Linked DNA regions of Drosophila melanogaster. The protein of the gene in region 1 interacts with the protein of each later gene in a pairwise test. Each region holds a gene or a part of one and is shown in the gene's direction. Other genes may lie near its edges. The genes, in order: ara, B-H1, CG15800 and pdm2.

Region 1 (7,981 bases):
GGTCAGTGTGTGGCTGCCGCAAATGGAAACGCCCCATGTGGTTGCCACTCGTCGTCGTCTGGTGTGTACCATCATGCTGACCCATTGATTGATTGCATTTGGCCCGTCGCTGCCACGCCCCCCGCCGCCACTCCGCCCACAGACCCCCGGCCACCCCCTCTTGCGTCCTTCCCTTTTCGTCCGGCGATTGCAAAAGCGCCACTCGTAAAACGCGCAACACAGCAAATATTGTACTTAACACCCGGAGGGGCACTTGGAACGGACTCTACGCTCTTGTTGCCGCCGCTGCACTCGAAAAAAATACGTGCTCCCATTTAGAATAAATATTTTTAAAAGGCCTTTTGCTAAGAAAACTACCTTAGAAATATTAGGAATAGGCTCAATTTTTAATACTTATATTACGAACTTTTAGAAGCACACTTTATATAGCTTAATTATTTTATGGCATAATTAAATAATATGTACATTGAAAAATATGCATTATATATTTATAAATTATGTATGAAATTTATAAACAACCTTTAGTTTTTCATATTTAATCTATTATTTTTCCAATTTTAAAAGCAAACTTACTAATGTTTACCAATAAATTCTATACACCTTTATCGAGGTTCCTGTAAGTGATCCCCGATTTTGGCCAAGTGTGCGACTGCCGCTGGGTTTTGCCTTTGGCCTCGTCATGACTTGGCTTCCCTTGGAATTAATTCACATTTGGGTTTTGGTGGGGGCAACAGCTTTGGTCATTTGTTGCTTTCAGCTAACACGCTGCTCTCATTTTCCGGCGCTGCTGGGCCGCGGTGGGTGGGGTGCCACCACCCCCAGTACCACCCATATCCACTCACCATAGCCACTCCATACTGCTCTATTCTACCCACACTTCCAGCCACACCACGTGGATCGTTTCATCCACACACATATATCTTATGCGGAGCGAGGTGAGGACACGCCCAGACCTTATGGCGCAATTCCGTCGTGTAAGTCGCACTTTTTCGGTTTTATAGGTTAATTTGCTTTTATTACATTATCATAAAAATAAACAAACGACAAAAAAAAGAAGAAGAGAAGAACAGGAGAACAAACAAAAACACGCTGCAAACAAGCTTGCCAACATCCGCGGCACCCGCAAAAACATTTGAGGTTTACCTCATCTCCCCCATCACATCGCATCACATCCACGGCGGACTCTCCATTTCCGGAATGCGTGTCCTCGACCGGAGAATTCATCCTGCCGGAGAATCGTAATCGTAAAAAATAGATCGTAAAGCGGATGTCCAAATATGTTAGTGCGCATTAATAGCAAAAACTTTTTTCCAAATCCAGCATTTTCACGGGCTCATGTGCAATATGCGGGTACCTTTTACACACTAAACTTATGGAATTTTATAAATATAGTTAAAAGTTCATAATAAATATGGTGTAAGTGAAAAAGTGGGCCATTCCTTGCCCTAAATTTGACAGTATAATATATATTTTTTATGATTTCTTAAAAGACCGAACTTTCTGCAAAACACACGAGGTTTAAGTTATCTCTAAAAATATCTTAGAAAAATCAATTTTTTTTTTCAATTAATGTATCATAGTGCAGAAACATACGTTGCATGCAATTTATCAAAAAGAAAATTAGGTCAGGCTTTTCTTGTTTTTCGGATACACGTCAAGTGCTATTTAATTGCAATTAAAATTGCTTATGTTCTAGAAGATATTTTAAGTGGCGAAATTAAATTGGCTAGCATATTTAAGTAGCATAACAATTAGTTTAGTTAGATAATTAAAGTATTTTAATTGCCATAAATATTGTTCGCCAAAGTATCGCAAATGTTGAAAATACTTAAATGATCTGTGTCTGTTAAAAAGCAATTGCAGTAAAAAAATGCAATACACATTTTATAAAAAATTTAAAATGTCTCAAAGTTAATATATGTTATGATTACTAATAACATAACCTAAGCTAAGTAAAAATCTGGTTGATATTTAAAAATCCCAAGAATTAATGGTATGATTGCCTGTTTGAGTAAGGATATTAATTCCTTCCATAAAAAGTTAAAATCTTGTTGATAATTTAAGTAACTGGTATCCAAGTGGAATGATATTTAAACAAAGATCGCTGGAAATGTTTCATTTAAACCCGAATTAGGAGAGATTAATTAGTGAGGATCGATAATGGGAGTTAACTAAAGTGCAATGCAGCGATAAAGATAATGACAGACGATAAATACAGTGCGAGTGTCTTGGAATTTGCTGATCTTATTAACGCTTTTGTGTCGCCACTTTTGGCCATCGCAGCACTTTGTTGCCACTTCCAGCTGGCGATCGCTGGTGGCGCACTTCCAGTCGATGGGCGCGCAATTGTGAAAAGTAAACAAACAAATGACTAGCCAAACAAAACAAATGGGCGTTGCCCGGGAATTGTGGGTAAAACAAGAGACCATCGACAGTTGTGAAAATGCGTCCCGCTCCCTACCCACTTCCTCTCCCTTCACCATCCGCTCATTTCATTTGTATTTTCTTTTCTTTGCTTTCTTTCGCCTGGCGACCTCGCACCTGTCCATTAAATCAGCCAGCCGAAGCTCATGCAGCCCTACGATTGGTGGTTGCGCTGGCCTCACTTCCAGTGAGCCGCGAATACGAGTCACTGGCGGGGAATCGGATTGGAATTGCGGAGAGAGCGACCGGCCAAATGCCACCACCAACACCAGACAAAACCGGAGAACGGTGGGCGTTGCTCTAGAGTGCTTACACTTCCAGTCTGCCGACTCCGTTATTCTTGTTGCTCGCTCCAAGGCGAGCGGCATTCCGTTTCTCTTTCGATGGGGGGAGGCAGCATATTGTTGTCCCGCTTCCGCGCCAACTGCAGCGGAATGCGCCCCAACAGCGCAGCAACAACAACAGCAACAGCAGCAGCAACACGGCCAACAGCAACGGCATTCGCAACCAGTTCGTGTTCGAACGTTATAAGGTGCACATCTGAAAGGGAGCGTGTGCTGAAGCGCCGCGTTTTTGCCGTCGATATTTCGTCGATTTTTCGTTGCCGCCGCGTTTTGCGAGTGCTGTTAGCCAGAAAAAAAAATAAAATATATATAAACAAAAATCCACCACAAGTGACAGCTGCAACTGCAAATACCAAACAAATCCACGAGATACTTTCGGTTGGCCCAATGTCGTTATGGTCGTTATCGCCAGTGCCCACTGTGAACAGACCCAATCGAAACTGAGCTGTTAAACCCCCGATAAGCACATCATTTGATGTAGCAGCTTCACCGTATATCCTTCAGCAGACTGCCCACGAGCGAGAGAGAGAGAGAGAGAGAGAGAGAGAGTATCTTAAGACTAGGTCTTATATAGTCGTATAGTCATATAGCGAAATGGCTGCCTACACACAATTCGGATACGGAGGCTTTCCGTCGGCCTCGCAGGTGGGTCCTCTAATTAACTAAATTTGATCTAGATGTATATACTATATGATGGCTATTCATATTCATTAAGTAGCAAGAGATCTCAAGATAACTAGAGGAATGAAAATGTTTATTAACTGCAGATATGGGAACCTATTTAGATACAATATTATTCATACGACTGATATAATCAACTGATTATTGTAATTATGATTGCCTTAAAGATTCATAATTTTTATGTTTGGAGGTATTAAAAACAGAGGTCACAAGCAAAAAGCGTTGTAAAATCATATTTTTTCATATACATATTTAATTTTTCTATTTATAATCACAACTATCTTTTCTGGAGTGCGTTCCATCATTAAAACTGAACCCGTTATCTGAATATTTTTTCTAAAATTTTTTTCCTAAAAAAGCTTGGTTGGGTTTAAATTCTATTTGTGTGTTTTTTAAGCAATCCTTACCACCAACTTTCATCTGAGTACTTCCACCGACTCCAGTCAAAGTTATCCGATTATTTGATCTTGAGGACCCACTATAGGGCAAAACCGCTAAAAGTCTTTGATTGTAGCGCTTTTGGACTTTTCACTAAGCAGCAAAAACAGCTGCTTGAGGCAAACTTTTTCCATGTTTATGACAGTAAATTGGTGGCAGGCCAGCAAAAAACCATAATAAATCAGATGGCTGATAAATGGCCTGAGAAAAAGCCACTCCGAGGAATCAGGCGTTTTTGTCAACCTTCAAAATTCACACAAAAAACGATTCGGCGTTTTAAAGATGTTGCACAAAATTGCGCGGCTTGCAGGTGCAACTAAAATATTTGTAAAATATTGTGATAAATTACAAAAGTTGTAGAAGCTTTCGAAAGGCCTAGAGTAAATTAAATTTCCTATTGATTGCGTTTGCCTGGGCTAAACTTTAATTTCCCAGGCCATAATACTTGGTTACCAATTGCCTGGTTCTTCCTCCAAAGAACTCTGGCGTCTTTCCCATTTCGGACCACACGAGCCCAATTAACTAAAGTCGAAAACGAAAGCAAAAAAAAAAAAAAAAAACTAAAGAAAAAGGAAAAGAAAAAAGGGAAAAGCCTTGGCAATCAGAAGGCCAAGACGATGGGAGGTGCCGATTGAGGCACGCTCAGGTGAAACTGTTGAAAAGTCAATAAAATTCAATTGCGGCGATCGTAAATCATAAAATTCATAACCGTAAAGTGACAGCTGAGGGCAGGCTCTGGGAATGCCCTCCTGGCTACGTGAGGAGCATCCATTGAATCTGGAGATGGCAGATAGGATAGCATCCGAATCCCAACGAACACGATCGATGGACCAATGACTTGGCTCCACTCTGATCTACTTTACATTGGCTTCGTTTTGGGGAGTGAGGAGAATGAGCGGAGTGCGGCTCCAAGTGGCGCTTATAGTCCGGTGCTATCAACTTGGTCATCTGGAGGAGATTGTCGGGGGAGGCACTCGGATGCAGAATCGCGGTAGCCTGGCCGCTTTGGTGGACCCACGAGATACAAGCTGCGATTAGATCGCTGCGTTTGCGATTCACAGAAATTTCCAAAGCCAGTGCAACTCAGAAGTTGGGTATCTGGCATTGGGCATTGGGTACTGGTTACTGGTTACTGGTTACTGCTCACTGGGCACACACATGGCCAGCAGATCTTATCTGCGCACTGTCGCCTGCCAGTCGTCGTCGTCGTCTGCATCCTCCAACTGCGAACAACGAAAGTTCCACGTTCCATCCGCAGACGTGGCCAATTCACATGGCCCACTGGACCACTGGCGCTTCCTCCGAGAGCGGAAAGGTACTGCTGGAATGGAGTCCTCTACCTCATGAATAATGCATTCGCTCAAGGAGCTGAGGAATCTGGCAGGCGCATAGAGCTCCCTATATGGTGTCGCCTATCAGATTAGTTGTCATAATTCTCATATTGTTGCGTTTGCCGAGAAACTCTGGGAACGCGTTGCCTCCTTTCGATCGCTGAACATTCCCATACAGAATCGAGCGAAATGTATTTGCTTTTTACTAATTAAAATCACGCGGCACGGTGGAATACAAAAAAAAAAGTCAAAAAAGTAAAACAACTGAATCATTCATTTGTAAAATTTTGATAAATGGCTGTGAGTTTTCACATTTTTTTTTTCGATGTCCCTATATATAGTCAGCGGTCTTGGCCTCGAAATTCTATTATTTGTGCGTTTCAGCACGACTCAAAAAAAAATATGTTTTTCCTTTATTAATTATGATCGGACTTGAGCGACCTTCTAGTAGATCACTCACCTGCTGAATTTCGAGGGGATCAATCTCGAATCGAATCGATCGCATCTGATAATTATAAAATAATATGCATGTGCTGCGATTTTCGGGCGAAGAAGATGGTTCTATTGTCAGATTATGTTAATGACGCGGAATAATTATGCATTCTGCTGGCTGCATTTAAGTTTTGACCGCGAATTCGGCCACAGAAGCCGTGTTAGCCGGGCTAAAATTGTTGCTGCCCAGATATTATGACCTTTTGCTGGGCACTTCGATCAATTTGTAGCTGTCCAACGGGCGGAGCACTCAACTTAATTATGGGTTCGGTGCGTCGATATTTTCGCCCAGAAGACTAAAGTCTTCAGATTCCAGACCTTAAGACTTCCAGACTTCAAACTTCAAGACTTCCAGACTTCAAACTTCCAGACTTCAGTTTGCAGATTGCAGACTGTGGGGAAATTGAAGCAGTCCGCTCGTTTTGCAGATTGCCCGCGGTAATTTTCAGAAGCCTTCGCCAGCATGTTGCCCGACTCCATCTCCATCTGCATCAATTCCATGCATCCCATATCCACATCGATCTTGTGGATGGGTCCGAAAAAGTCGGTCTGGTCTGGTGCTGGGACCTATAGGCGTCGGCTGCCACACCCTCATTGATTTCTGGCATTTTTTAAAATGCCCCCAAGAGAACTGGCTTCGTGGGCTTGGCACATTTTGCATATTAATTGCCAAGTGAGTGGCGCATGCCATAGGCGAGGTTCCACTGTGTAAAAGATGGAGGACATCACATCAGGCTGCCCCCGTTGCCGATCCGTCGCACTTGGAATCGATTTGCTGGGTAATTGATCTGGCCGCCATTGCAGCGAAGTTCGCGAATCCCGAACTGCACTCCCATCCGATCCAATCCACTCCATTGATTAAGGGAACTTAATCGCCGCGGGATTATGAATCCCGTCCAGCTTCTGCGCTTTCCTGCCAGTGGCATTGATTGTGTGTTAACACCATATTCGCTTACATGTTATCGATGCATCTTGTAATGGGTGCCTACTGTCGATTTTTCGAATTAAATTCGCAATTACCCAGCGATTCAGGCGGATTTTGTGTCTTCAGTAGGAGGATGGCCTGCAAAATGGTACATTGATCTGGGGGATGGGTAAACAACATTGCCGGACATCAATATTTATGAAGTTTCCAGTACGGCAGTTAGCATGACTTACTCGGCATTATGATGCAGAAAATTAGCCATTATACATGGACGTGCGTTTCCTGTGCCGCGTCGATTGGAGGCGAGTCATCCCATTCCCGGGCAGGTTTCCATCCTCGCAGCTAGTTGACATCTAGTTTATGGCGCTGTTCAAGGATAGTTTAGATAATTATTAAATTACTTCTCAATTTTCTAAGTAATACGGACAAAGTGTTGGTACTTAAGAGAATCTGTTTATAAAGTCTTCACTTTTCTTTGGTTTTTTTTTTTACTTTTCAATAATCGGAGCTTTATATATATTTAAAAATTGAAAAAAAAAACAGTAGTATTCAAGTGTTTAAATCTCGTAATATAAAAGCACGAAATAAGTTACCAAAATCATTTGCTTGGAACATTCTTTAGATCCATCAATGAAAACTATCTTATCATTTGAGCAGCGCAATAAACTAATTCATTGGCGAAATGTTTTGAGATAAACACTGTCAGCTTTAGGGTCTGCGTTTTGTGTTCGAAATGAAATATTTTCTTCAATGATTGGGGGGGTTTCTCGGAAGCCCCACCTCTGCGAGTGTGTGTGAGTTGTGGGGTTTTATCAGCGGTTCGTATCTCTATAAGGTGTTCAAAATGACCCTTTTGCCGGCGAGGGAAAATATTTCTCGATCATCGGACCTTTGGTGTTTGAAATAAAAATTAAAATGGCCCCTTGATTAACATGCATTAGTTATGTAAACCAGTGGCGATGTGTGTTTATATATCACTTAAGGCTATCATCAGTCGACTGCCTTTCGAGTTTTGAAGTACCTGTGCACAGGGGTAAAATATAATGCGATTTCGATAATGTCAACTCGATTTTAGACATCATTAGTTTAGCAGCTGGTTAAATTATTATCAATTAAGTATTTCACATCTGAATTATTTTATAACCCTATATAAATCAATGAAAGTCAATTATCTGCTGGAATAAAAACTCAAATAGAAACTTGTTTAAATTATAAATTATTTAAATCATCAAAGGAATTACCTTTATTTTTTCCCTGTGCATTCAACTTAATATACCCATAAGATAAGCGGCTAAAACCCCGAATTTGTGTTTCAATTTGCGATGAACTTGCACTGAAGAGCCTCT
Region 2 (10,697 bases), on another chromosome or scaffold:
TCGACCAGCCTAAGCTGAGCCATAAAAAGTGAGTGAAGTCCGAATCCGGACAGGTGCCAAAAGGGGGAGGTCCAATCGAAGTCGAATTTCAGTCCCTTTTTCCCGCTTTGAGATCCTATGGTATCCAGATCGAAATCCTCCATTGGATTTATAGCTGCAGGCAGGCAGTAAAATTTAAATAGCATCCATTTAGTGGGGCGACATCAATTTTTAAAACGAGCGCCGCTCCGGAAAATGAAAAGGGGAAAAGGGGGACACAGAGGGGCATCGGAATTGGAATCAGGGCTTATGTTTATCCTGCAGTTGTGTTGCTATTGTTGCTGTTGTAGCTGGCATGCTGACTGATCTGGAGCAGCGATAAATTGCCGTGCGGCATGGGGTTAAGCAGCTGGTGGGGGTTAAAGGGGTTACGGGGGTTACGGGGCAGGAGAACACCTTTGTTGGCCACGTTGTTGACAAATCATTTGGCAAGAACGTTGGCCATCGACGGCACACGCGACCAACAAAAACAAGAGCCAAATAAAACAGGGCAAACAAACTTAAAACAAGTCAACACGTTGGGTAACGAAGGCTTAAATACCCTTTGACTTTGGTAAATCGTTTGATAGATAAAAACATTTATGATTAAAGCATTTAAAAATTGTTCCATAGTAAATGAGAATATTTTAAGTAAAATATTTGTTACAGCTCTTTCTAAAAAAACTGTAATTTGTGAAAATGAAACTGTTCTTCAATTTATTGATTTAGGAAATATATATTATATATTGCGCAAATATTATGATTTAGGATATTATTAAAGTAGACAACCTTGCAGCAAGAGGGTATTGGCTAATATAAAGATAAAAGCCCTGGCAAGTCAGTCGATCTTGAGGCAGAGGACAGGGCCAGTGGTTCATCGGTCCAGCGAGAACCTTTGTCACCTCCGGACGGACCCATTTACCCCCACGTTGCAAGATCGCTGGATGTGGATGTGGATCTGGATCTGGATGTCGAGGGTTCGGCGAGGGCAGCACATTAAAAGTAAATTAACTTATCAGCGACAACGATCAGTTATTTTATTACGTTTGTCCACGCAGTAACACGAACATTATAATATCAAAGATGCCGATTAAGATTCCACAGGCCCCGCAGGCTCACCACCACTCTGCGGAAACAGATCAGAAATGGAAATGGACGTACTTTTGGATCAGCTTGGACAGGAGTTGGGTATCGCTGGTGCTGCATGTGGGTTGGTGTGGCTCAAATTGGAGGCACATATGAGGAAGATATATAACAAATGAAATCTTATGAATTTGTATATGGGCACATTTTCAAAATGAAAGAAGGAACTGAAAAAGAATACCTGATGTATTTTTCTGCATATTATATTATCTTGTTGTGCCTCTTATTCTAAAAACTTTGCATCTCCATTGATGCAGAATTCTTTTGCGGATATTTGCAGTGCAAACAGTCCTACTCAATGAGTGGACATTAGGCCAATTAAGGCTACTTTCAGATGGCAAGATACGCAGATAGGTAGATCGAAAGATAGATATATGGATATGTGGATAGGTATCCGAGCGATAGAAGGCTGCACATGGACAACTGTTAGCCAGTTCGTAGAAGAGGCCGGAAAAACGCTGCCAACTGTCCAAGTTCGCTGGCAACTGTCCAGTAATCGAGGGGCAAAGGGGGTGTGGCATTGGGACAACTGCGCATTGCGGTTTCTGCATTTGTACATTTCTTTTTCATAATTTCTCGCATGTGCACTGAGAAAAAAGGGGGTATCCTTTCGGTCCTATGTCTCTGTCTTATGTCTTTGTCTTTATTTTTTGGTTTTTTCAGTGCCAAATTCTGGGCTTACTTCATTTAAATATTATATTTTATAACCAATTCGTTTTTAACTTAATATACTAAACTAAACTTCTCTCAGTGCTGACATTGCTGGCCGAGTGCAATTATTTTAAGCATTCAATTGGCATTGGCAGTTCGAACTCGAATCGACCGCAGACCGCAGGATATACGACTGGGCTGGCAATTATATGCATTTAAGTGCAATAACCGTCATCAGGACGAAGGACTCGGTTGACTTTTCCTCGCATTTGATGCTCCGGCAGACGCTAATTATTTTAATGCGCTCCGCAATTGAAGCGCGCGCTTCAGTCCGCTTTACCCCCGCCCCCGGCGCCCTAATTTCCCCGCCACTAATGACCTTCGCAGGTCACCTGACCTTTTCCCCCTTCCGCTCATGGTTCTCTCCAGGTTGGTTCAGTTCCTCGACCGGAATCAATATCAATCAAACGGAAACCGCCGCTCTCGACAAATTGCATTTGTTCATCCCGCTCCGCTTCCCTTCCTGCAATTAGTCCTGGACTAACATGTGGCCACCGAAACAACCCAAAGGTGAGCCTAACCACCGGGCTATTGGCGTGAAATTTTAATTGCCATCTTGTTGTCTGAGAGCGTGGAATCGAAAAAAGCGACGCCCAAATGTCGGGCGTATAAGGTTTTTCGACTCAAAAATCGAACAATTTGGTGTTAATTGAAGTTCTAATATATAAAGCAAACACATTTAAGGAGCTCTTAAAATATGTCAAGCCAAATGGGACTAAGATTATTTTTAATAAATCAATGATAAAACATGATTGATAAAATTGTTTACTGGCTTGACGTTATTCGCAGATTTCTAAGCGAATATATATAAAAGTATTATAATATTCTTATGTGATGGGAAAGACAGATGTTTTGACATTTCGGAATTGAAAAGTTTTGGTAATTTATGTCTTAATGGTCTAATTGTTAAAGCAGTGAACATAAAGCAGAGTTAATATTTTTGGAATAATATTTTGTTCACAAAGAAGAGTACTCTTCACATAGTAATGCAGTAGCATCGTCTCCATCTCTCAGATCCAACTAACTTCCTCGTAGCGCCATTTTAGGCCTTTTTCAAGGCCCTGAAGAGCTCAAGAGCGTTTGACCGACATTTGGTGCTATAAAAACCGAGAAACCGGGGAGAGACTTTATTTCACCACGCCGTGGTGGATTCACCACGGTGCCGGCAACATGGCGCTGCGCGAGAGAGTGACAGCCGATGAGACGGCGAGAGCCGTGGAAGCGAGAGGCAGCGAAAGCGAGCGACTGGCCATCCCCCTCCGGCCTTCGGTAGCATATGCGGCCCAACCACCGCCTATGACAAAGTGGCAAAATTGTTGCCACAGCCGCCGCTCGAGCCTCAGCCGCAGTCGGCGTCGGCAGCAGCGTTGGCAGCGGCGGATCGGGCAGGTGCGTTTCATAAACGTTCAGTCTCGTTTTGGCAGCCAAGCCGCTCACGACGTCGCTGGGTGAAAAGTTGAGATAAGGCCAAGAAAACAAAAAAACAAACAAATAGAAGACAACTTGACATCTATAGGAAACTCCAGTGAATGTGAATTTTTTTAGTGAAGTGTTGAAAGCAAATATAATTCGTATAAATAATCGGCAAGAAAAGGGAGAAAGAGTGAAACCCCCTAAGTCCTATGAAAGACTCGATGAGCATACTCACCCAAACGCCCAGCGAGCCAAACGCAGCGCATCCCCAGCTGCACCACCACCTCAGTACGCTGCAGCAGCAGCACCACCAGCACCACCTCCACTACGGCCTGCAGCCACCGGCGGTGGCTCACAGCATCCATAGCACCACCACCATGTCCTCCGGCGGCAGCACCACCACCGCCTCGGGCATCGGTAAGCCCAATCGGTCCCGCTTCATGATCAACGACATTCTGGCGGGCAGTGCGGCGGCCGCTTTCTACAAGCAGCAGCAGCATCACCAGCAGTTGCACCACCACAACAACAACAACAATTCGGGCTCCAGCGGCGGCAGCAGTCCCGCTCACAGCAACAACAACAACAACATTAATGGCGATAACTGTGAGGCATCCAATGTTGCTGGCGTCGGTGTGCTGCCATCTGCCCTGCACCACCCACAACCACATCCGCCCACGCATCCGCACACACATCCGCATGCGCTAATGCATCCGCACGGCAAGCTGGGGCACTTTCCACCCACCGCCGGCGGCAATGGGTTAAACGTGGCTCAATATGCGGCGGCCATGCAACAGCACTATGCCGCTGCTGCTGCCGCGGCTGCTGCGCGCAACAATGCAGCTGCTGCTGCAGCCGCCGCTGCTGCCGCTGCAGCTGCTGGTGTAGCCGCACCACCCGTCGACGGGGGAGTGGATGGCGGGGTGGGGCTGGCGCCACCGGCGGGCGGCGATCTGGACGACAGCAGCGATTACCACGAGGAGAACGAGGACTGCGACAGCGGCAACATGGACGATCACAGCGTTTGTAGCAATGGTGAGGTGAGCCTCTGTACTATGCGGGGGGTGGGGTGTTGGCGGCATTAGAGGGTGGTGGGTCAGTATAGCATTCTCGCTAATTCTCGAAAATGCATTTTCAAGCAGGAATTTTCTTCATTCAAAACAAGTTCGCAATGTTTTATAAACAAATATTGGGTCGAAATAGAACCAATTATCAACAAATCTGATTAATGTTGAGCCTTATGATAAAAAATATTCAATATTCAAATTATCCAAGTCATTTTAAAATAAAGCTATCACTGCCTGGTGCTAAGCTTATAAAGTACATATCAGATATTTTTACAACTCTACGACCACTTGCCTTTTTTTTTAAACAGTTGTCCAGATTGTTTTGTAAAGCTAGACACAAAACATGCAGATCTGATAAGTTTAATATTTTTTAATTTGAACGCAAATTTTTTATTAATGATATTGATATTGCGTTTTAGTAACATATTCCCTTTAGGTGATATTAAATATATTTGCACTTAACCAATTCTCAAATGTAGTGAGTGTAAAGGCAGTCGTAAAATAAAATTACTCAAATTCCCCTTTAAATCGTGTTAATGGTTCTGTTGTGAAACGCATTTCATCATAGCCAATTGAAAAAGTAATTCAATTAGGTAAAAAATAAGTAAGTCCGTTGTGCAGCAGTCAAGTTCGTTGCCTAAGTCTTTTGTATTGAAGCGTGCGCCTGAAATGGGGGCTAAAGTGTGGAGCGCGGGGGTGGGGCGGCGGCCCTCGTCGATGTCGCTTTGCAAAACAAACTGTAAAAATTATTGCATGACCATTTTACATTCTCGTTCTTGTTGCTTCTATTTGTTGTGGTTTTAGTTGAAAAAAAAAAATACTTTTTCACGCTTTGTTTCCGTCATTGCGAAGCTTCTAAAGTCCCCTTGCCTCCTCGCCCCTCCTCAAACTTGGGGGCATGCACCTGCGAATCTGAGAGCTATTATGGCAGAATGGAGGCGTGGCTCGCAGTGGGCGGGGGGTTGGCGGAAGAAGAGGATCTGCCTGAAATGCAACAACAAAATGCAGTTTAAAACTGCCGCAGCCGCAGAAAAAATCTCAAATAATTACACACATCGCACTCACTGTTCCCCGCTTCGCCGCTCGCTCTGCTTCCTCCTCCTATCTCACGCACCTGCCCCCTTCGCAATCATTTAATTGTGGAAATTGTTATAAAAATGCATTTAACCCGCTTTAATAGACGCCCCATGGCAATGGCAGCCGGGCAGCAGCAAACGAAAAAATGTTGCAGTCTGTTTGCTCATCTCATCGCCACTCGGTTCGTTTTACTTCGCTTTTGGCCAGCTTCTCATGCGCTCCACTCCATCTGGGCCCTGTTTTGTGCCATTTATTGCCGCAATTTCCTGTTGCCAATTGCACTTTTATAAACGGTAGTCGCGTCGGCCAGCTCTTTTGGGATGACAGCCAGCGGGCAGGGAAGGCGGCAATCCGTCAATTCATTGGAATTTCACAATTGCGATCAGCTTCAGTTACAAAAAAACCAAAATGAATATTGATCACTAGATTTTATTTATAAATTTAATGAAAAATCATAATTATAATAATAAAATCAGATAGGAAAGTTAACTTTTAAAGCTTATATTTGAATTATAAATTTGTAAAAAAAAAAACAAATTAGGTTTTTTTTTAACAACACTGTCGCCCAATTTTATTTGGCACATAATTCTTGATTTTTGGTTTTGCCTTTTTTTTAACGCTCCACAAATTATCGCCCGCAAATCGATAATTCAGCAAGTCGGCGCCAACATTCGTGAGTAATTTTCTTTAATTGCAAATTAATTTTATTCAATTGCGGCATTATCGCTCATTTATCGCTGCCATTAATCATTTATCGTTTACGTTTTATATGGTAAACAACTTTCGCCTTGGCGGCAAAATAAGCTCTTGATTAGCGATGATTAATAGAAATAATTAGCAATGCATCTTTATTTGCTTCATATTTCAAAGTTCAATTAGAGGCATAGCTGGATTTTCAATAAATAAAATAATATTGACTTCTTGGTATCTCATTATCAATAACAAAGATTGAGTCCACTTATTTAATGGATCGTGCAAAATTAAAATCTTGAAAAGATTTTATTATTGTTTGTCTGCTTCCTGATAAATTTATATGCTTAAAACAACAAAAATATGCTAAGATTGTTAATTTCCCCGTTTCTAGGCCTTATTAGACCAAATTTAAATGCGGCACTTGGCAAGTTTTCGCTTTAAATAATTTAACGCTTGAGAGTTTACTTAGCCCGCGTCAACCCCTTAACCCCCTCGTGCCCATGGGCCAAAAACTCGCTCTCGCTTATCGGGTAACCACCATCGGTTGAATTTACATAAATTTTATGTACTAAATGGCTGGCCAGAAAAGGTGGAAAAGCGGCCTTTTCTGGCCAAGAACACTTTTCGCAAAAAGGGGTGCTTTGGCCTGGTCAGCTTGCCTATCTCTCTTGCGGCTTTTTGTGGCAAGTTTAGACATTTTGCGGCACGTTTTTATTACACTCACACACACACGAACCGCTTTGTGAGCGGAAGCGGCAATTGCGTGGCCATAAACGAGCCTCTAACTGTATCTGCAACTGTTTTAATAGATCGCACAGAGATCTAAATCGAATTAGCCTTATGGGCATACCAAATCACCAACAAATAGTGATTTTCGGTAAACCATCTCGGCAAATGTTAAAAACTAGTTTTTAGGCATTTAAAGTTTTATAGAAATGTAACTAATATACCTTCGTTTTAAGTTTAAAAGGGGGAAGTGAATATTATAGTATGTATTATAAACAAACTTCATATTTTATGATAATAAAAAGTTTTGGAGTTTTACGCATATCCTACTTTGCCAAATGTGGTATTAGATTAGACATAATGGACTTTTTGCCCTTAGTTTCTTAATATTTCTAAAATTGAAATTCTCTTTTCTTTCAGGCGGTAAAGATGACGATGGCAACAGTGTCAAGAGCGGCTCCACCAGCGACATGAGCGGTCTGAGCAAGAAGCAGCGAAAGGCGCGTACCGCCTTCACGGATCACCAGCTGCAGACGCTCGAGAAGTCCTTCGAGCGGCAGAAGTACCTTAGCGTTCAGGAGCGCCAGGAGCTGGCCCACAAGTTGGATCTGAGCGATTGCCAGGTGAAAACTTGGTACCAAAACCGCAGGTGGGTTTTAACTTTAATGATTTTTTAATTTGTATTAGTTTTCAAAGATGAACTTAAGAAAATACAATAAAATCTATACACATATATTCTTATTGAAAGTATACTAAAGTTTGGTATCTATTATCATTTTGCAGAACCAAATGGAAGCGCCAAACAGCAGTGGGCCTGGAACTCCTCGCAGAGGCTGGAAACTTCGCGGCCTTTCAGCGACTTTACGGCGGATCGCCTTACCTGGGCGCCTGGCCGTATGCGGCCGCTGCCGGCGCCGCCCACGGAGCCACGCCCCACACGAACATAGACATCTATTACCGTCAAGCGGCCGCTGCGGCCGCCATGCAGAAGCCACTGCCCTACAACCTATACGCCGGCGTTCCGTCCGTCGGAGTGGGCGTCGGGGTGGGCGTGGGTCCGGCACCCTTCTCCCACCTGTCCGCCTCCAGTTCGCTGTCCTCGCTGAGCAGCTACTATCAGAGTGCCGCTGCGGCTGCCTCCGCTGCCAATCCGGGCGGACCGCATCCGGTAGCGCCACCACCTTCGGTGGGCGGAGGATCTCCGCCCAGTGGCCTGGTCAAACCGATTCCGGCCCATTCCGCATCCGCCTCGCCGCCACCAAGGCCACCATCGACGCCGAGTCCAACGCTGAATCCGGGCAGTCCGCCAGGACGATCCGTTGACAGCTGTTCCCAGTCGGACGACGAGGATCAGATCCAGGTGTGAGCGGTACGCCGGAGTGCGGCGATTGTGTGCGTGTGCTAATCATCGGGTTTGGGCGGTCTCAAAAGTGCGATTTCCAAGGGGATACATAAACTACATAGTTGGTTTCACGAATTTAAGTTACATATCACTCATTTTGTAAATCAGTCGGATCGATGATTTTATTGTTCCATAAAACATAAAAGTTTACATGGCATTTAGGTTATTTAGATGAATCAGCAGTTGCATTATTCGTGCACCATATCACAACATCGTTTTTATGGTTCAAACTTTAGTACAAAGGTATTTTGTTTAAATTTAACCAAAATATATTTGGAGGCATTTATAAACTTACGATCTAAACAAATTATTGTTTAAGGTCATAAAAAGCAGCACAAATGAGTTCAGTATTCAAAACAAAATCATGGAACCGAAAATTTGAATGGAACATGCATATTAAAAAAAAAAACATTTGTCAAAGATCAATATCCACAAGAATTCGCGTTTTTGAATCTCCCCTTAAGCCCCGCTTGTGTGTGTGTGTGCCTGCGTGTGTATATATATATTAATATCCCTGTGAATCTGTGTGTGTGCTTAATTTATTTGATTTGCTCTTAGTAACTTATTCGAAATGTTTTTTAAAGAGTTTTTTTTTTTCAATATAAGATAATGAAGTAAAATTAAGCAAATATTTATTTAAATGTTGTAAAAACTAGCAGCCAAAAAAGCAAAATAATTTTGTATAGTTAAGCCTAACCACGAAATGTATTATCGAATAAACAATTTTTTTTTTGTCGGTAGCCTAGACCTATAAACGTTGTAACTGTAAAATGTAAAGTACATTTAACCGCATATTTTTTTGTCTAAATAAAAAATAACAGAATGTGAGAATAGAGCAATCGTTCTGCGGGATTTCGTTGGGAGTGGGGGAGGTTGGACGTGTCCCGGGGCAATTAATATAATGACCAACAGAAACAATTTACAAACGATGTGTGCGGGGAGGGGTGGCGGGAAAGGGGGTTTTATGACGACGTGCGAGCCAACCCCTAATGATAATAATTGCATGCAAAATGCATTTAACCGCAATTAGTGCATTTATTAGGCCAAAAGTTGATATATTGAATAACTGCCACCGTTGGCCACCAGTTACCAGCTACCAGCTACCCGCTACCAGTTACCTACTGCCAGTTGCCAGTTACCAGTTGGCCAAAACCAGGGGCGTCCCTCGCCAAGGGGACTCGAGTTCGAGCAGTTATGGCCATGTTTGGCATTGCGTGCTCGCATGCAAGCGGCGCTGCAGGCGAAGGCCCAGCAAACGATCCTTGAAGTCCGGCCAAGGACCAAGGATGCACCAGCTGACTGAATCCAAGGGGCTCCCCGCACATCCCAGATGGAGCCCACGGATTACGGGGCCGTCAAGGTGGGCCAATTCTAGATTTGAAAAGCATCAGGGGGCTCAATAATGAGGGACCATTAAATTTCTACTACAATACTTTCTACTTTAAACATAAAATTATGTTTTCTTTCCCATACATACTGTTGTATTATTATTATTGAGTAAATAATCAAAATGTTAAACAGTAGACACAAACCTTTGAGGGGACTAAGGAAATCTTATATATTAATCTAAATATATATGTTATGAATGTTCCCCCTCATTTGAAGCCACTCTTTTTGATACATAAAATATTATCATTTTCATATATAGATGCATTTAGTCTCAAAAACCTAGGTATCCTTTTTGATAGGGTATTCCGGAGTGGACCTTATTTCTAGGGCACTCCAATACACCCCTGCACTGCGTTTTTGCTGGCAGCACGCGTGTTCTGGGTTTCGAGTTTCTTGTGTTTGTGTTTTTGCGCCTTCATCGGCAAATTGGCCGCAATGTTTAAATTGCAGTTGGCCTAAAACAAAAGAGACGCTTGGCAGGACAATGAAATGACAACAAAAACACGACGGTGGCCAGCGGGCAACCGTTCATTAAAGACAAATGACACAAAACACAAACTGCACGTACCGTTCGCTCGATCTCTTTCCCTCCGCTATCGCCGTCCCACTCAATTAAACACGACCGTTGTTTCAGTTTTCAGCTTTCAGCTTATTCAGATGCTTGATAATTATGGCCAGCATTATAAAGGAAAGCCAATTTGCAAGCATCAGAACTAATAAGAAAATGCGCTTAACTAAGGAATGTACTACTTTTTATGATCATTTTTATCACACATCCTGATGCCCAGATTCATCACTTCCTGCTTCTGCGTGCACCATTTTTAATTCGCCAGTATCTCGTTTATATATTTCGTAAGTAAACACGAAATTGGCTGCGGACTCATGTATAAATTAAAGACGCATCATCTGGCGTTTGATATGCAAACTCATGGAATCCAAAGAGCTGGAAGTCAGCCATTGGGGGATTGGGATTGGGATCGGGGGATTACGGAACCGGAGGAGTCAACCCCGGACGCATTTATGAAATGAAGCAGAAATATTGCCTGCTTACTGTGCTGTAA
Region 3 (6,123 bases), on another chromosome or scaffold:
ATTCAAATATTAGTGTTTGACATTTGGCCCGCACTTTATATCTTTTTGTTCGCCATTAGCCAAATTTGCACAGCTGTTTTTTCTTCAGCTCAACTCGCGTTGACGTGCTTTCAACAGCGGACTAGCGACTCAAGGTGCAGGTTCCCAGACCGCATTCATTGTTTTATCATTATAAAACAATGGCCAAAAGATTCGCTCGCCCTTTTCCAGCCAACAGGCATACAAATGCAAAAAGTTCAGGTCACAGACACTTTACGTAATCCCCACCGCCACTTGATCGCTGTCTGCAACTTGCAGCGGAATTGTCGGCGAAGTATCGGCTAAATTTATTATCTCCTGGGCAAAATGTTCGCAGTTGAACTTTGTTATGTCACATTTTGGCCGATTTATGTGTGATCCACATATTTTTTCTGCGTCTGTCTGGGAAATGGGTTGGCTGCGTCACTCATACGCCCTGTGGTTCCAGTTCTTCTCGCAGCCAATGTCGCTGTCAGACAGACGAGCGATATATGCGGGAAATGGGTTCATTATCAAGCCAAATGGTGTGCTACTGACTCAGGTGCTGACACAGGTTCCCCCAATCCCCGATGCTTATCGGCCAACAGAAGCAGCTGTTTGTCTGACACACCGCTGGCAGAGGATGGTGGAGAGAGGTGGCCAACAACTGTCAATGTCAATTTAAACTAAAACGCTGACGCCCTACAAAAAGATCGAGACAACGAGCTTACAACAGAGTCGCACTCGGCGGGTTGTGTCAGCAAATCATTAAGAAAGCAAAAGTTAAAAGCAGCCAGCAATAGCACACAAAAAATTCCCATAAACCGAAACAGACGCTGACTTTATGGTAAAAGGCACAAGACCCACAAAAAACGAGGGGGGGGGGGAAGGGGAAAGAAAAACATATTCGGCCAGGCGGCATAATTATGCGGAAGCTGACAATGCAACTTGCTTTTCGGTTTTTGGCGGCTTTCGGGGGCTTTTGGCACAGTTCCATTCCCACTTCCATTTCCAAACACTTTTCGGCCAGCTTCTGTTTGAAGCTGTTCGGTTGACATTTGATGATGCGTATCTTTTTGTTTTGTTTTCTATATACTTTTTCATTGGCCCGTAATTATATAAAAAATATGAACGGGAATTATGCAAGCCGAGTTCAAGTCAAAAAACAGTTTTGCCATAGCCGTAACCTTGAGCTGGCTCAGATTTAGATTTATGCATGCGCACATATGGCAAATGATTCGACCCTAATCGGCCTTAATTATGCAAATGATAGACCAAATCGAGTTGCCATCTTGCCTCATAACTGTTTCTCTATTCCAACTGATTTGGTGTGGTGTATTGTAATATGTGAATCGGAATATCAACCAGATTGTTCGCGGTCACCTAAAAGCCGTGACGTTTTGGTTTTTTACTTTATCACCATCGCTGTTAAATGTGCGCATGAATTTCCTGATAATTTGGCGTGCAGCCAATGCACATTAGTTGCGATTCAGTTAAAACTTTTCAATGCTCTTGATTCACTTTTGCTTTTGGGTGAAAGTCTCGCCGCGAAGGTTGCCAACTGGCACTTTCTGTTAGCATTGATGCTTTTCTTATGGACTTCTGACGGCCATTACATGGTGGCAAAAGTCGGTTGACCTTTGGCCAAAATGGTTTTCATATTATTTGGAAGATTTTACACTTATTTGTAGCTACACATCTTTGAACGTGGCTTGCAAGCTTCCTTGTCATGCTTCTAAGCTCAAGTTCGTGTTCTAAGTCTTTTGTTTTGAAGCGCTTTCCATGTTTACTCAAAATATCGATTCCATTTTCTCATTTTTGCCTGCCCGCCGGCTGAAATAGGAAAAAGTGAACTTTCCTTGCGCTTACCTACAATTTTCGCCAATCCATGAGCAAGTGTCTTGGGGCATTGGCCTTGGGCTGGGTACCACCCACATTTGGCAATTGCTCAGCCGAACATTTCATTACGATTGATGATGATCGATTCGCCGGCGAGACTTTCTTTCACTCGAAGTGGGCCACGGCAGTTCGGATCTTGCAGCACGTTGCATGCAAATTGTGCAAAACCTTTGGGATATAAAATGTCATGCAATTTGTCGTAAATGTCGCTGAGAAGTTGCGACACGGCAACGTGAAGCGGCTGTTGCTGCTGCTGCTGCTGTTGCTGCCTTTGTTGCCGCTGGTCAGTTCTGTTTGTTTTCTTGGTTGGTTTGTCAAAAGGTTGGATGGATGCTGTTACCCCCTCGCCACGCATCGCTGCATCATTATTGACAATTAGCCGCATTCGATGGCGGGCGGATGTGCAACTGCAACTGCAACGGCAGCACAAACAGCAATCAACAGGGCAGCACAAGATTGTTTTATGCCTCGAGGCTGCTTCTTGGCCTTATGCAATAATTAATTACTCGGCCAGCGGGCCAGAAAACTAGGTTTCTTTCTACAAAACTAAAAGTAAATATTAATTGAAGCAGCAAGCGGCGTTTGAGTTGCAACAACAGATGCTAACTGTACTCGCGTTGCAAACACAGTGCTGTCCATTCGAGCATGACCAGGACGGGTTTGTGGGCAGGGAACTAATGGTCATGTGAGGTGGTAAGACCATTATTTGGGAAATAAATACTTTGCATGCTGGCCCATTGCGTGAATATATTGGCAAATGGGATGTGGCTAATAATAATTAATATTTAATTTATTTAATTTTCGTTTCCCCTTCGTCTCTTTGCAGTTTAAGCATTTTTAAGGATTATATTAGCACCCTAGGCGGCCGAAGCAGTAAGATGTCCTCACCACTGGTCCTTTTCACAGCGCTCCTCCTGGTCAGCAGCACAATATGCCAGGGCCTGCCAGATGTAAGTACCCGCAGATATGATCAATGCCAAGTGCAAGAACTCATCAATCAATCGGTGCGATATAAATAACCTTTGGGCTCTTATAATGCCATAAAGCCAGCTGTTAACGGATAAAAAGGGGCAAAAAAAAAAAAAAACGAACAACAAATGGCCGCCAGTCGGCGGTTTCATTGTCATTCGCATTGTGCGTAATTAGCATTTCGAGAAATACAAAACATTTTTTGTATATTAATTAAATTACAAAACAGAGCAGAGCGCAGTGCCGAAGAGAGTCGTCGTTAGAAATAAAACATTGGCATTGTGTGTTTGCATTGTGGGCCAGGTTTCTGAGTGCGCCTGTATGGGTACGTATCTCATTGACACACAGCACAGCTTTTGTCTCGAGTTTTTTTTTTGCTTTTCGTTTTCGAGAAAAAGCTTGGCCAGCAAAATTATGGCCAAGGTCGGACGTAAAAAGTTCTTGTAATTATTTCAAGTGAATTTCAGACTGTCCCTCCCTCCGTTTGTTTACTAACTTTTATTTTATTATTCTGCTGTCGTTGGCCATTTGCTAGCCGCCTTCTTTACACTTTTCTCTTTCATTGTCACTGCCTTTGTTGCGGAGGTTATGGCTTTGGTTGGTCGCTTGGAAACTTTGTGATTACAGCAGATGGTGGTTTATTTCGATATTGAACTCCAATTTGAACAATTTCCAGAGGTAGAGTAGGCACAAGTTTGTGGTTTAGTTCGTATTGATTGCAAGCAGTAGGCCCTGACTTTCTGATCCGAAGCTCTTAATTTGTTATTCGAAATTCGGTTCAAGAATGGTGCGATTCGAGACAAGGGATGGCCGTACGATAAGCGTAAATCTGGCTCTGCTCGAGAAATCCTTGGTGATCCGGGAGATGTGCCGCGTTGGCCAGGTCCCAGAGGATGAGGACTTCGTCCTGCCGCTGCACGGTATACACAGCAATGTCCTGCTGAAGATCTTGCTGTGGGCTGAGTACCATGAGAAACACGAAGAGCCCGCCTGGGTGGACAGCAAAGATCCTCTTCCGGCCGAGGAGATTGAGCTGCAGATCTCCGATTGGGACAAGGAGTTCCTGCGCGTGGAAATCGATAGCATTTGCAAAATCATGGAGGGCTGCAACTACTTGGACATCCCTTGGCTCTACAAGCTCTGTGCCCAGAAACTCGTCTTCCTCAGCAGCCGAGAGCCGGAGACGCAGTTCAGCGGTTACGTGGAGAAGATCCCAAGATTCCAGGATCATTTCATTGAGCAAATTCAAAAGGAATAGGGTGATTTGTAAAAGGAACGTTTGGGCTAAAATTGTCTCTTGGCTGTATTCAAAACTGCTGAAATTCAAAGAATAAAAAATATTAATAATAATAGTAGTAACTTTCCGTTTTCGTAACCTATTACAATGAAATATTCAAATTTAGCACGAGAACCCACATTTTATTTTCACGTTCCCTTGACTTTTTTTTTTTGGAAACACTTAAATATAGACCATGATATTTTGGGTTCCGATTTTGGAGCAAGTTCGTGTTGGCGGAGACATCGACCCCCTAGCCTTGCCAAAGTGCTGGCATAAAAAAGTGCCCCATAAACGACTTCGTCTCCGTTTTCCACTGCAATTAAAGTTGACACGCTACACCAGCAACAACAAAAGCGACTAAAACAGCCCAAGTAACAACAACTTTGACGAGGCCCTTCAAATCCCAGCCGAGCATGAAAAGAGTGATGTAAAAAACGAACTGAGGTTGGTTCATGCAAAACACCACCAGAATATCGATTCGGATTCGAGTGAGTCAGCAGTCGGCAGTTGGCAGTTTTGTAGGTTTGCATTTTTGCTTTATGTGCTGTCAGAAATGCAAAGGAATATGAGATATCTAAATGTTTGCGGCCTATCAATTGCCGGCCAAATAAATTAAGCCTTTAATTGTGCAATCCAGAATGGTTAGCCGCACGATTTGTTGTTGTTTCCTGGACTCGTATTTTGTTATTTATTTATTTATTTTTTGTTTAGCTACTGATCGGCTCTTTCGCTTTTTGTCTACAGCTGCCTGCTCTGTGTCACGGTTTGAGATTTGCTTTATTTCTATTTAATCATTTTTGAGTTCGGGTTCTCGGGTCACGTTCTCCCCGCTGTTTTTATATATATAGTTACTTGTGTGCGTGGAGCTACAGGAAAATCGGTCGATTGTCAGTGAATGAGTAATTGTCGGTTGTTTAAGAGATTATGCAATCGCAATGGAAACGCATAGACAGCGTACAAAAATGCAAAGATCTTAATTGATAATCCAAGCGATAAAGGTAGATATTGCAGAGATTCTTTAAAAGATGATAAATAAAATGGGTGTATTAAATCAATTCCACTTTAGTCTTACTTTAAACGAAATTGCCATTGAAGTGAATATTTTTAGCATTCGATCCGCCATATTCACCCAATTGCCAGACAAAAAAAAATCACTCAAATTTGCCATTCCGATTAGACGCAGCTCATTCCGGAGGTTTCGTAACACCCTGAACTTTTCACACTTTGTTAATCGCTGGCATAAATACAAAATTTCCAAAAGCGAGAGAAGTTAAAACCAGAAAATTTAACGCCGACAGAAGCGGTTGCTAATTTCCGCCGCCTGTCAGCCGAGGCGACAAGGTCAACACACCCAAATATCCAAGGAAATGGATTGAAAAGAGGCGAACGCCGACGAGTTTGCAATTTGCTGGCTGCCGCTGCCATCCATCCATTTGCAAAAGCCCAAACGAAGTGCCAAACAAATCTTGAAAATCATTTCTTTGTATTTGACTGACTGCGCGAAAGGTCGATTGACACTCTTTCGAGCGTCTGCCGCTGTTGACTTTGACCGGCTGATAAAAACGCGGGGAAAACAATTGCACAACAAACAGTGTTGGCCATAAACAGTGTATTGGCCTCAACCAGAGCCAATTTGAAGCACACTTTTTGCGTTAATATGGCGGCTACACCTTTTACTTTGACTTGACTCTGATTGCACTTGGTCGCCGCCGCCGCCATCGAAGCTAAAGTCGTCGCAATGCCGGTTATAGCGTAGCGCGCACACCGGGCGTATGAGTAATCTCGCACAATTTCAGTAATTGCCCGCGCAGCAGCACCAGCAGCACCAGCAGCCCCAGTAAAATCCAAATCCAAATCAAGCAGCAGCAACACAGCTAGCCATACAAATTACAAACAGCGCAAATTTCACAACATCCGTCATTGCACTCGGCGAAAACCGAAAATAAAATCAAACTTTAGCTTGGACAAATAGCTGGGTA
Region 4 (7,875 bases), on another chromosome or scaffold:
TTAAAATATACCATGGGCAGGACTGGGTGAGCGAGTGAGAGGGCGAGCCTTGTGTGTGTGAGCTTCTTTTGTCCTGCTTCACCCGTGTATAACGGTAAATGCCAGCCATACGTGGTTATATATTTGTACAATATACATATGTACACGTCGAAGGCAAAGTAGAGGAAAATGTATGCAACATTTTACAATGCAAAAGCCATTTACTTGGGCAACGTAGGAAAGCCAAGGGAGATGGAAAACTAAGAGCCCCAGAGAGAAAGAGAAAAAGGACCGTTTGCGTGTTGGTGTAAGTGTGTGCCGCCTGCATGTGTGTGTTTGCTCGTGAGGCAGTCAGCATATGAAAAATGAAAAGTCACAACTGCGAAACGAAAAATACGAAAAGAATACCGTTGAAATACAGCCTTAGGAAAGGAAAAAAAATATTTCTCCTCTTTGTTTCCCTATATACAACAAATACCGCCCGCAAGCATTTATATACACATAAACATCATGGGAAACTTTCAACTTTTATGTCGCCTCGTCCTCGGTGGGTAATGTAAATAAAAAGAGACAGGAAATGTTTGCGATATGTAAGAGCACACGACACAAAAAAAAAAGGAAAAGTGCAAAATTCTAAAAAGTTTCCACAGAACGCGGGGATGATATGGCAGGAACCATAACTTAGGCACCCGTCAGCTTAGCTTTGTTGGTTGGTCCTTAGGTGCTCGCCCTTCAATATGAAAAATGAGCCAGGGAAGGCAGATGAAATTTTGGGGCTGGGCGATTTTTTCAAGTTTTATGGGGCGTATACGGAATGTGGAATACCAAATGGAAGAACTAAGGGCACAGTTCAAGAGGTGGTTGTCTACTTTTTCGAGCGTGTTAGTTAGGTTCTGCATATGGTAAAAATAACATTTTTTAAATATTCAAGTAAACACCTGAGAACATATGAATTAGAGCTACAAAAACAATATTTTTTTCATATCAATAAAGAAAATTACATTTTTACTGCTTATAAGAAGAATTTTTTAGTTTTTATTATTTACCAATTATCCTTATATAGGTTTTTTGAACGTACACCTATTGTACACACAAGTGCTGCAAGTAAAATCTTCAAAAAGTACGCTCGCATCAGTTTTACTCTTCCCCAACTTCTTTATTTCATAACTATCTTTTGATTACCAAATAGTTACTCCGTGAATAGTTGGGTCATACTCTTCAGAACCTACCCCCACAAACTAAACCATTTTCAGACGAAACCCATCGATTAGTTGGATTTAAGCATCTCGAAACAGCGACAACTTAAATGCTTACAAAACAAGAATAGTGGAAAAGAGGATGTAAAGGAGGCTGCAGAGGAACCAAAACACAAGCAGACGGGCAGACAAGTGAATAGAAGTGACAAACCAAAAATAAAAGGGCCAAGAAGGGAATTTCCTCGGCGCTAATCAATGAAATTAAAGCTGCGGCCAAGGCGAAATATCTTTAAGGACTCACTACTGAGGGGGGGCGGCATGGGGGAGTGGAACATATAGAATAGTGAGCGAGCCAAGCTACTGCCAACTTTAATGAACGGAAATTAGCAGTCAAAAGGTAAAAGCCCTCTCGCTCTCTTTTTTTCACCCGCAGCATCTGGACGCCGCGGCGAATTCGCGCACATGCACACACAATGGCCAACGGCGAAATGGAGAGAGCTCCCCACGAAGAGCGAGCATGCGCCGCAAGAGAGCGCCAAAGCTCCATGCCGATTGGCTGCCGGCTGCCCACTTTGGGTGAGTGTGTTTGTGCGGGAGAGAGCGCGCTTGTTGGATATATTTCCCCAAGATTTTCTACCTCTCCCTCCGCACTTTCTCTCTCTTGCGTTCTCTTTCTGTTCAGGCATAAACAAACCATTTTGAATAAAATCAACAGCAACAACAGCGGCAACAACTACGTTGTTGCAACAATGTGGATCCCAAGTTGCCGAGAAAAATCAACTGATTCTACACTTAGAAAAGTTTTATATATTGGTTATAATACAATTTCATTAAAAGCCTATTAACATTATAAATTTACTTATAATTGTAAAAGAAATGTATTTAAAATACGCTTAGAACCTTTATATATAAATGTATAAATTATAATATATTCTATTTAGAGTAACAATAAAAACCAAATTAAGTTATACCAAGACGTGTTTGTGAATATTTGTTAAGATAAAATATAGAATTTAAGGTTTATTTCTGTTAAATATTAAAATGGTACAATAGAAAATGACTGGAATATATATTATATAATTTTTGTAAGTGTATGGTTACTACAGTTGCTTGTGGTGCTTCTTCTTCCATTTATTCAGCTAGTACTGCTCTTCTTCTAGATGCTTTGGCCTGGTCAAGTTGCATTCAATTGCAGTTTTTCAGTTGCCACTCCGTTGGCCGATTGTCGGTTGTCGTCCTCGCGACTTTTCTTGTTTATTTTTTCAACTAGCTGTGTGTGCGTGACAGCAACAACAATAATCTGAGGACGCCTCTTGTAATTATTTTAATTTATGCGTTTATCGCTTTTTGCCTTTTGCCGCCGTTCAGCGGATTCTGTTGGCTATCTGTCTGCATTTGGTTCGTTTTTTGCCTTGACATTCGCATTTTGACAGCACGGCGAATAATTCTCGGTTCTGCCATCATTGCAATGTCAATTTTTTTCATTTTTCATTCGCTGATATTCCGACTTGTCCACGGGGCGTATGCGTAACGCGAGTTGTGTTGTGATTTCTGGCAAGTGCAATGCCGTCGGAACATTGATTTTGAAAGGAATTAAATCTGTTTTGCCCATAAAATCATCTGCTTTAGTATTATATGTTTTATTTTATAAAACTTATTATTTTTATAAAAGAAAGAAAACGGTTTGGTATATAAGCGGCCATAAAAAAATCAAAAAATCTTGTATCTTGTGCCGAATAAATAATGAATCATATGATGAGAAACAGTACTTGAATCAATAAGAATTTTAATATATTTTATTATATTTTGCAAACTGAATTACTTGTATACCCTTATTCGGTTACTCGTATGAGCCTGACTCCTCTTCTCCTTCTCAATTCCCTTCAAGAGGAAATTTTCATGCCGCTCTAAACTACAAATCAACTTAGGAGCCCCCATATTATTTCTTCCCTCAACGAACAGAAGCAGCGGCAGTCAATACATACATAATTCGGAATCCGATAAGAGCCACCCACCCATATATACATATATAGAACACTCACACACACATATGCAGTACTATTTTCCACCCACACAATACAAGCTTTTCATTTTAAAACCTCCTGTAAAAAAAAAGAAGCAAGAGAAAGAAAAACGAAGTCAAACGCCCCAAAACACCCACGCACCACCCCCTCCACCTGTTTTATGGCTCCCTTTCCCCACCCCCACAGACACACACACACACACAGAGGCACATCGCAAACAGACCAATACACTGGCACACTCACACTCACTCACTCTCTCCAACATCTTCTATAAAAAAAAAGTATTTTTTGTACTCGCTTGACATTTTGTGGATACGTCGGACGTCGTCGGAAGTCGTCGCGAACTTTGCTTCTTTTTGCTCTTTCTCTTTTCTTTAGTCTGCTTTTTTTTCACTTTTTACTTTTTGCCCATATCTCCTTGCGCGTTTTTTTAAGTCAGTCGTTTGTCGGAAGTCAATCAAAAAGCGTGTCTCGGAGAATTGTCCCAAAAGACAGAGATCACCTCACCTCACCTCGACGGCCCACAGAAAATGCAGAAAGGGCGTGAAGCTGTCGCCATTCTCGTTGGCAATTACAATTTATAAAAGTGTGGCAAAGTAAACAATTAAATTATAATTCGTGACAGCAGGCGAAAACCAGTAGAGGAAAAACCAGTAAGGAGGTGCGCCATCTTCCAGCCCAAGTGAGTTTAACTCTTTTTTTTCTTTTGTACCCACTGAGTGTGTCAAGGAGCTTGTCTTGTAACGCCCACACTCAATGCGATCGATGGATCAGCCAGATGGATGATACAGATGCCGCAAGAGAGAGAGAGAGGGCAGAACTGTTTCTTCTGGCCTGTCAGATTCCTAATGAGCTTTCCCAAGTGTCTGCGCGTATTTCAGCGTCCTTAATTGGCCATATGTGTTTGAGGGCCAACAAGTGTCCCGATATGGCTGACTATGGTAGTTGGACGGGCGAACTGAATCCATCATAGAGATCTTGGTCGGGCTTTAGCTAATCATAACAAAATTGTGACCATGTTCTGGTCAAATCTTTAACAATGGAAAATCTTAAGGTTAGATCAAATTAAGATGCAAAATGTATTAATAACAAGCAATTATCTTCAAAATGAGGCAATATATATATATATATATTGAATATAGTATTTGATTTAAAGGATAGTTTAATAACTTTTTCTAAATTTGTTCCATTCCATATATTTTTCATAAACCTTCTGTGATTTGTGTACCCTATCTTAGATGTGCCACATATATATTTTTATGGGTTTTTTACAATTCCACTTCTGGCAATGATTCGATCGATAATCACGACAAACAATTTCTCAACCGAAAGTCAGGCAAATCACATCATCGAACTAAGTTCCCTCGTATCTTTACAACCGAACCGTGTACACCCAATAGAAAATTATGAAAACACAAATTCCAAATTGAAGACAAACACAATGGCAATGTTCGGTATTATATGATCGGCGATACGTTTCCAATTGGAGTAAGCAATTGTGTTTAATTTTAAAACAAGATGAAGTTAAACAAAAATAGCGAAAGCCCCGATATTGTCGGCCCAATAAGGAATTACCGTGCCGATTGGGAATTATTGAAAGTAGCACCGAGGAATAAGTGACTGCATTTAGTCGGCGTTCGCTTTGATCATACCGGCAGATATATCGATTCCTGGCAATTGGTTGCTGACATGCAAAGAACATAATTTACCGACTGGCAAAATTGATAAACAATCTTCGTGTGGCACTTTGGTTGCGGCCAATTTGCCGTCGATACTGACAACTCAATTGATTTGTTTACAAGTGCCATTAATGTTAGTTGCCCCGACCCGCCTCTTCGTGGCTCATATGTACATAAACCCGTTTGGTAATGTATGTAAATAACCATTTCCATAAACGCACTTGCACTTTTCAGCACCGTATCTTATCTGGCCAAGTTGACTTGTTGTTCGGGGCATTTGATCGTTGCGCTTGTAGTTTAATTTCCCATTTCTATTTCCTTTGATTTCATCGCCTTTTGCCGTGATTTTTCGACACCCACCCACCCACTCCTTATCTCATTTGACTTCAATTTGTTTTCAATTTACAACAATTTCGTTTCAAACCACATTTGGTAAATGTGCCCATTTTCATTCTCCCATTTTTTGTTTGCATAATAATACAAAGTTTAGGTTTTAGTGCCTTTTATGGTGTCTACTGCTGTAAAGTTGTATACAACCACTTTTCACTTGTGGGAGCTGATTCGACAGGCCATGGGAAAATTTAGAGAAATGTTTGGACTGCTCAATAAACGAATTTAAAAGAGCAAACATTTAAACTATATAAATTGCGATATGTACTTTTATGACATGTTTACTTTCGAGTGGTATGGAATTTCTGTAATTATTTAACTGAATGATATAGTTTCTCACATATTAACATTTTCATTCAATGCTAGGTACAGTAAAACTTCTAATCAGTAACTTACTTTACATTTACCTTTTAGAAGAGAATATTAACTTTTAAACTTTTACCCTTATATATTTTTTTATCAAAATACAAACTTGTAATCGCAGAATGGGCTGACAATGCAATATACTCATGAGCCAGTTAATAAACTAAACTAATTAATCTCAGTTATAAGGTATACAAACATCCGTTCGATTTCAAACAAATCCACTGTTTCCACCTGTAACGTGAAAAGTCACGTGTACAGGAATGTGGATGGGTCAGTTATTTTAAGGGAAAAATCAATTACTTCCGCTATCGAGTCGTAAAGATCACAGCGCTCTATGTATTTAATAACAGCTTTTTAAAGTGCAGTTAACAGCAAATTAGGCTTTCAGCCGAAGAAGACACTTTTAATTATCAACCCATTTGCAGGCAGCAAAGGAGGCAGAAGGAGGAATACATATCGCCAGCGGTCCATGGGTCAATATCATAATCTGAGGCAGCAACCGGAGCGGCAAACAAGTCGCCACAGGCAGCAAGGAGCAGTTGAGTTGGCCATAAATCAAAGCGACGCAATTTGCTGCTGACGAACTGCAACGCAACAGCGGCAACAAGAGCAGCAGCATCAGCAGCAGCAGCAACAACTATGCCATTACTGCTGGCAACAACACTTGCCAACAATTCCCATCATCAACACTTGAGCACAACAGCAACAGAGACAGCAGCAGCAGCAGCAACAGCAAAAGCAGCCGCAACTGCAGCAGCAGCAGCAACAGCAACCATGTTGCTGACTTCGCCGACAGCAGCAACTCATTGCCTTGCTGCTGCAACATCGGCAGCAGGTGTTAATGTTCAAATTACTGGCCAAGGCGTTTCAGCCACTCTGAACGACGATCAACTGCAACTGCCGGCTAATTATGCCGCTAACGTTGGCCATTTGAATGGCTTTAACCCTAAAGACAACTGCCCACCAGTTCCACCCACCAGCGAGCGGGCTTTTGAGGGATTGCTACGCCTGCCGCAGATACAAGTCAAGCAGGAATTCATGGAGTCGCCGCCAGAGAGGCCTAGCTGCCATCCCATGAACCACCAGCAAGCACCAGCCAATTCAGGTGAGTTGACCTTTTTCTCATCGGAATGGCCATATATTATAAGGCCATATTATAAGCAAATGCATAGGTATTCTTAAATTATGAAAATGTTGTAAATGTTTTTTACGAGTTGCCAAAGCCTTTAGGAGATGGTACACGTTATTAAGAGCTAAATATCTTCATTTATTCTATTAATTGTAGCACTTAAGAAATCTAAAATGTATATATTATACTCCACCGCTCATTTTAACACTACCTTTGGACCCCTTAATCAAAATAATGCATTTTAGTGCTTAAATATAGTATATTATAATATTTTCTATTCTCAGTCTCCATTTAAACGACTGTAAGTTATCCACCTTGCAAGCCCCGCCTGAGTCAATAAAACCCCATAAAGGAGTTAACCCTTTTCAGCCCACCGCCCAGCATCCACACAAATGCATATGTGTATTTAAAAACCCATTAAGTGAAAAATGAGGTATTTACAACGTGTTAACAAGAGCACGGCCATTTTTCATGGTCTTCGGCCCGAAAAAAAAACAGGCCTCAAAAAGTGGGCGAAGCGCCGTATGCCAAAGAAAAACTCGTGCCAAACGCATGCTTATGGGATTTTCAATTTTTTATGCATCGAAACAGATTTCATTTTTTATTGGCAAAGGGGTCGTCGTCATCTTGATAGAGCCGAGAAAAAGGATGCGACACAAGGGACCCAGACCCGGGCTAATATTGCAACAGAGTGTGGTGCCACGAGTGCGAACATTTATGAAGATTGAAAGGGTTGTCAAACACTTCATCCGTCTTAAGGGACAAGGACAAGGAGAACCACAAGGGGTTCAAGAGGGTGCCACACATCCTGTTGCTCCTGCTGCTCAATCCAAAAGGAAAAAGGGGGTTGCAACATCTTGTTTTCTTTCGATTATTGAAATTGCCATTTTGCCGTTTGATGATCTCACTCGGGGGACTTGAAAACACTTTTCGTGACCTCAATTGTTATTTAAAGCCAACCGAGCCCCCAGACCCCAATTTACACAATATCCAATTTAAATAGGACTCATTACCATTCATCTTCATATGTAAATCCATTTCCTCTGGTCCAGCTCGGAAATGCTCACATGACATGCAAAACCCACAAAAAATCGAACCTCCTTAAGTGCGCA

Evidence for each region.
Region 2: the proteins of ara (region 1) and B-H1 interact in a two-hybrid assay, tested with the Drosophila melanogaster proteins (one large-scale study listed by BioGRID).
Region 3: the proteins of ara (region 1) and CG15800 interact in a two-hybrid assay, tested with the Drosophila melanogaster proteins (one large-scale study listed by BioGRID).
Region 4: the proteins of ara (region 1) and pdm2 interact in a two-hybrid assay, tested with the Drosophila melanogaster proteins (one large-scale study listed by BioGRID).

What each region holds. Positions count from the first base shown.
Region 1 is NT_037436.4:12,577,741-12,585,721, forward strand, and holds the start of ara (araucan), read left to right. Parts: upstream 1-2,931; 5' UTR 2,932-3,362; coding exon 3,363-3,413; intron 3,414-7,981. UniProt on the Drosophila melanogaster protein: Controls proneural and vein forming genes. Positive transcriptional controller of AC-SC (achaete-scute). May act as an activator that interacts with the transcriptional complex assembled on the AC and SC promoters and participates in transcription initiation.
Region 2 is NC_004354.4:17,394,200-17,404,896, forward strand, and holds B-H1 (BarH1), read left to right. Parts: upstream 1-3,278; 5' UTR 3,279-3,494; coding exon 3,495-4,317; coding exon of another isoform or gene 4,318-4,322; intron 4,323-7,265; coding exon 7,266-7,494; intron 7,495-7,628; coding exon 7,629-8,211; 3' UTR 8,212-9,079; downstream 9,080-10,697. UniProt on the Drosophila melanogaster protein: B-H1 and B-H2 are regulated by members of the wg signaling pathway; wg and dpp. B-H1 and B-H2 are coexpressed and functionally required in R1 and R6 receptor cells and primary pigment cells for normal eye development.
Region 3 is NT_033778.4:23,788,719-23,794,841, reverse strand, and holds CG15800 (uncharacterized protein), read left to right. Parts: upstream 1-3,614; 5' UTR 3,615-3,649; coding exon 3,650-4,123; 3' UTR 4,124-4,228; downstream 4,229-6,123. Other genes in the region: sona (sol narae), read left to right, coding at 2,775-2,846.
Region 4 is NT_033779.5:12,654,193-12,662,067, forward strand, and holds the start of pdm2 (POU domain protein 2), read left to right. Parts: upstream 1-2,972; 5' UTR 2,973-3,881; intron 3,882-6,059; 5' UTR 6,060-6,273; coding exon 6,274-6,739; intron 6,740-7,875. UniProt on the Drosophila melanogaster protein: DNA-binding regulatory protein implicated in early development. Involved in neuronal cell fate decision. May act as an octamer-dependent activator of transcription.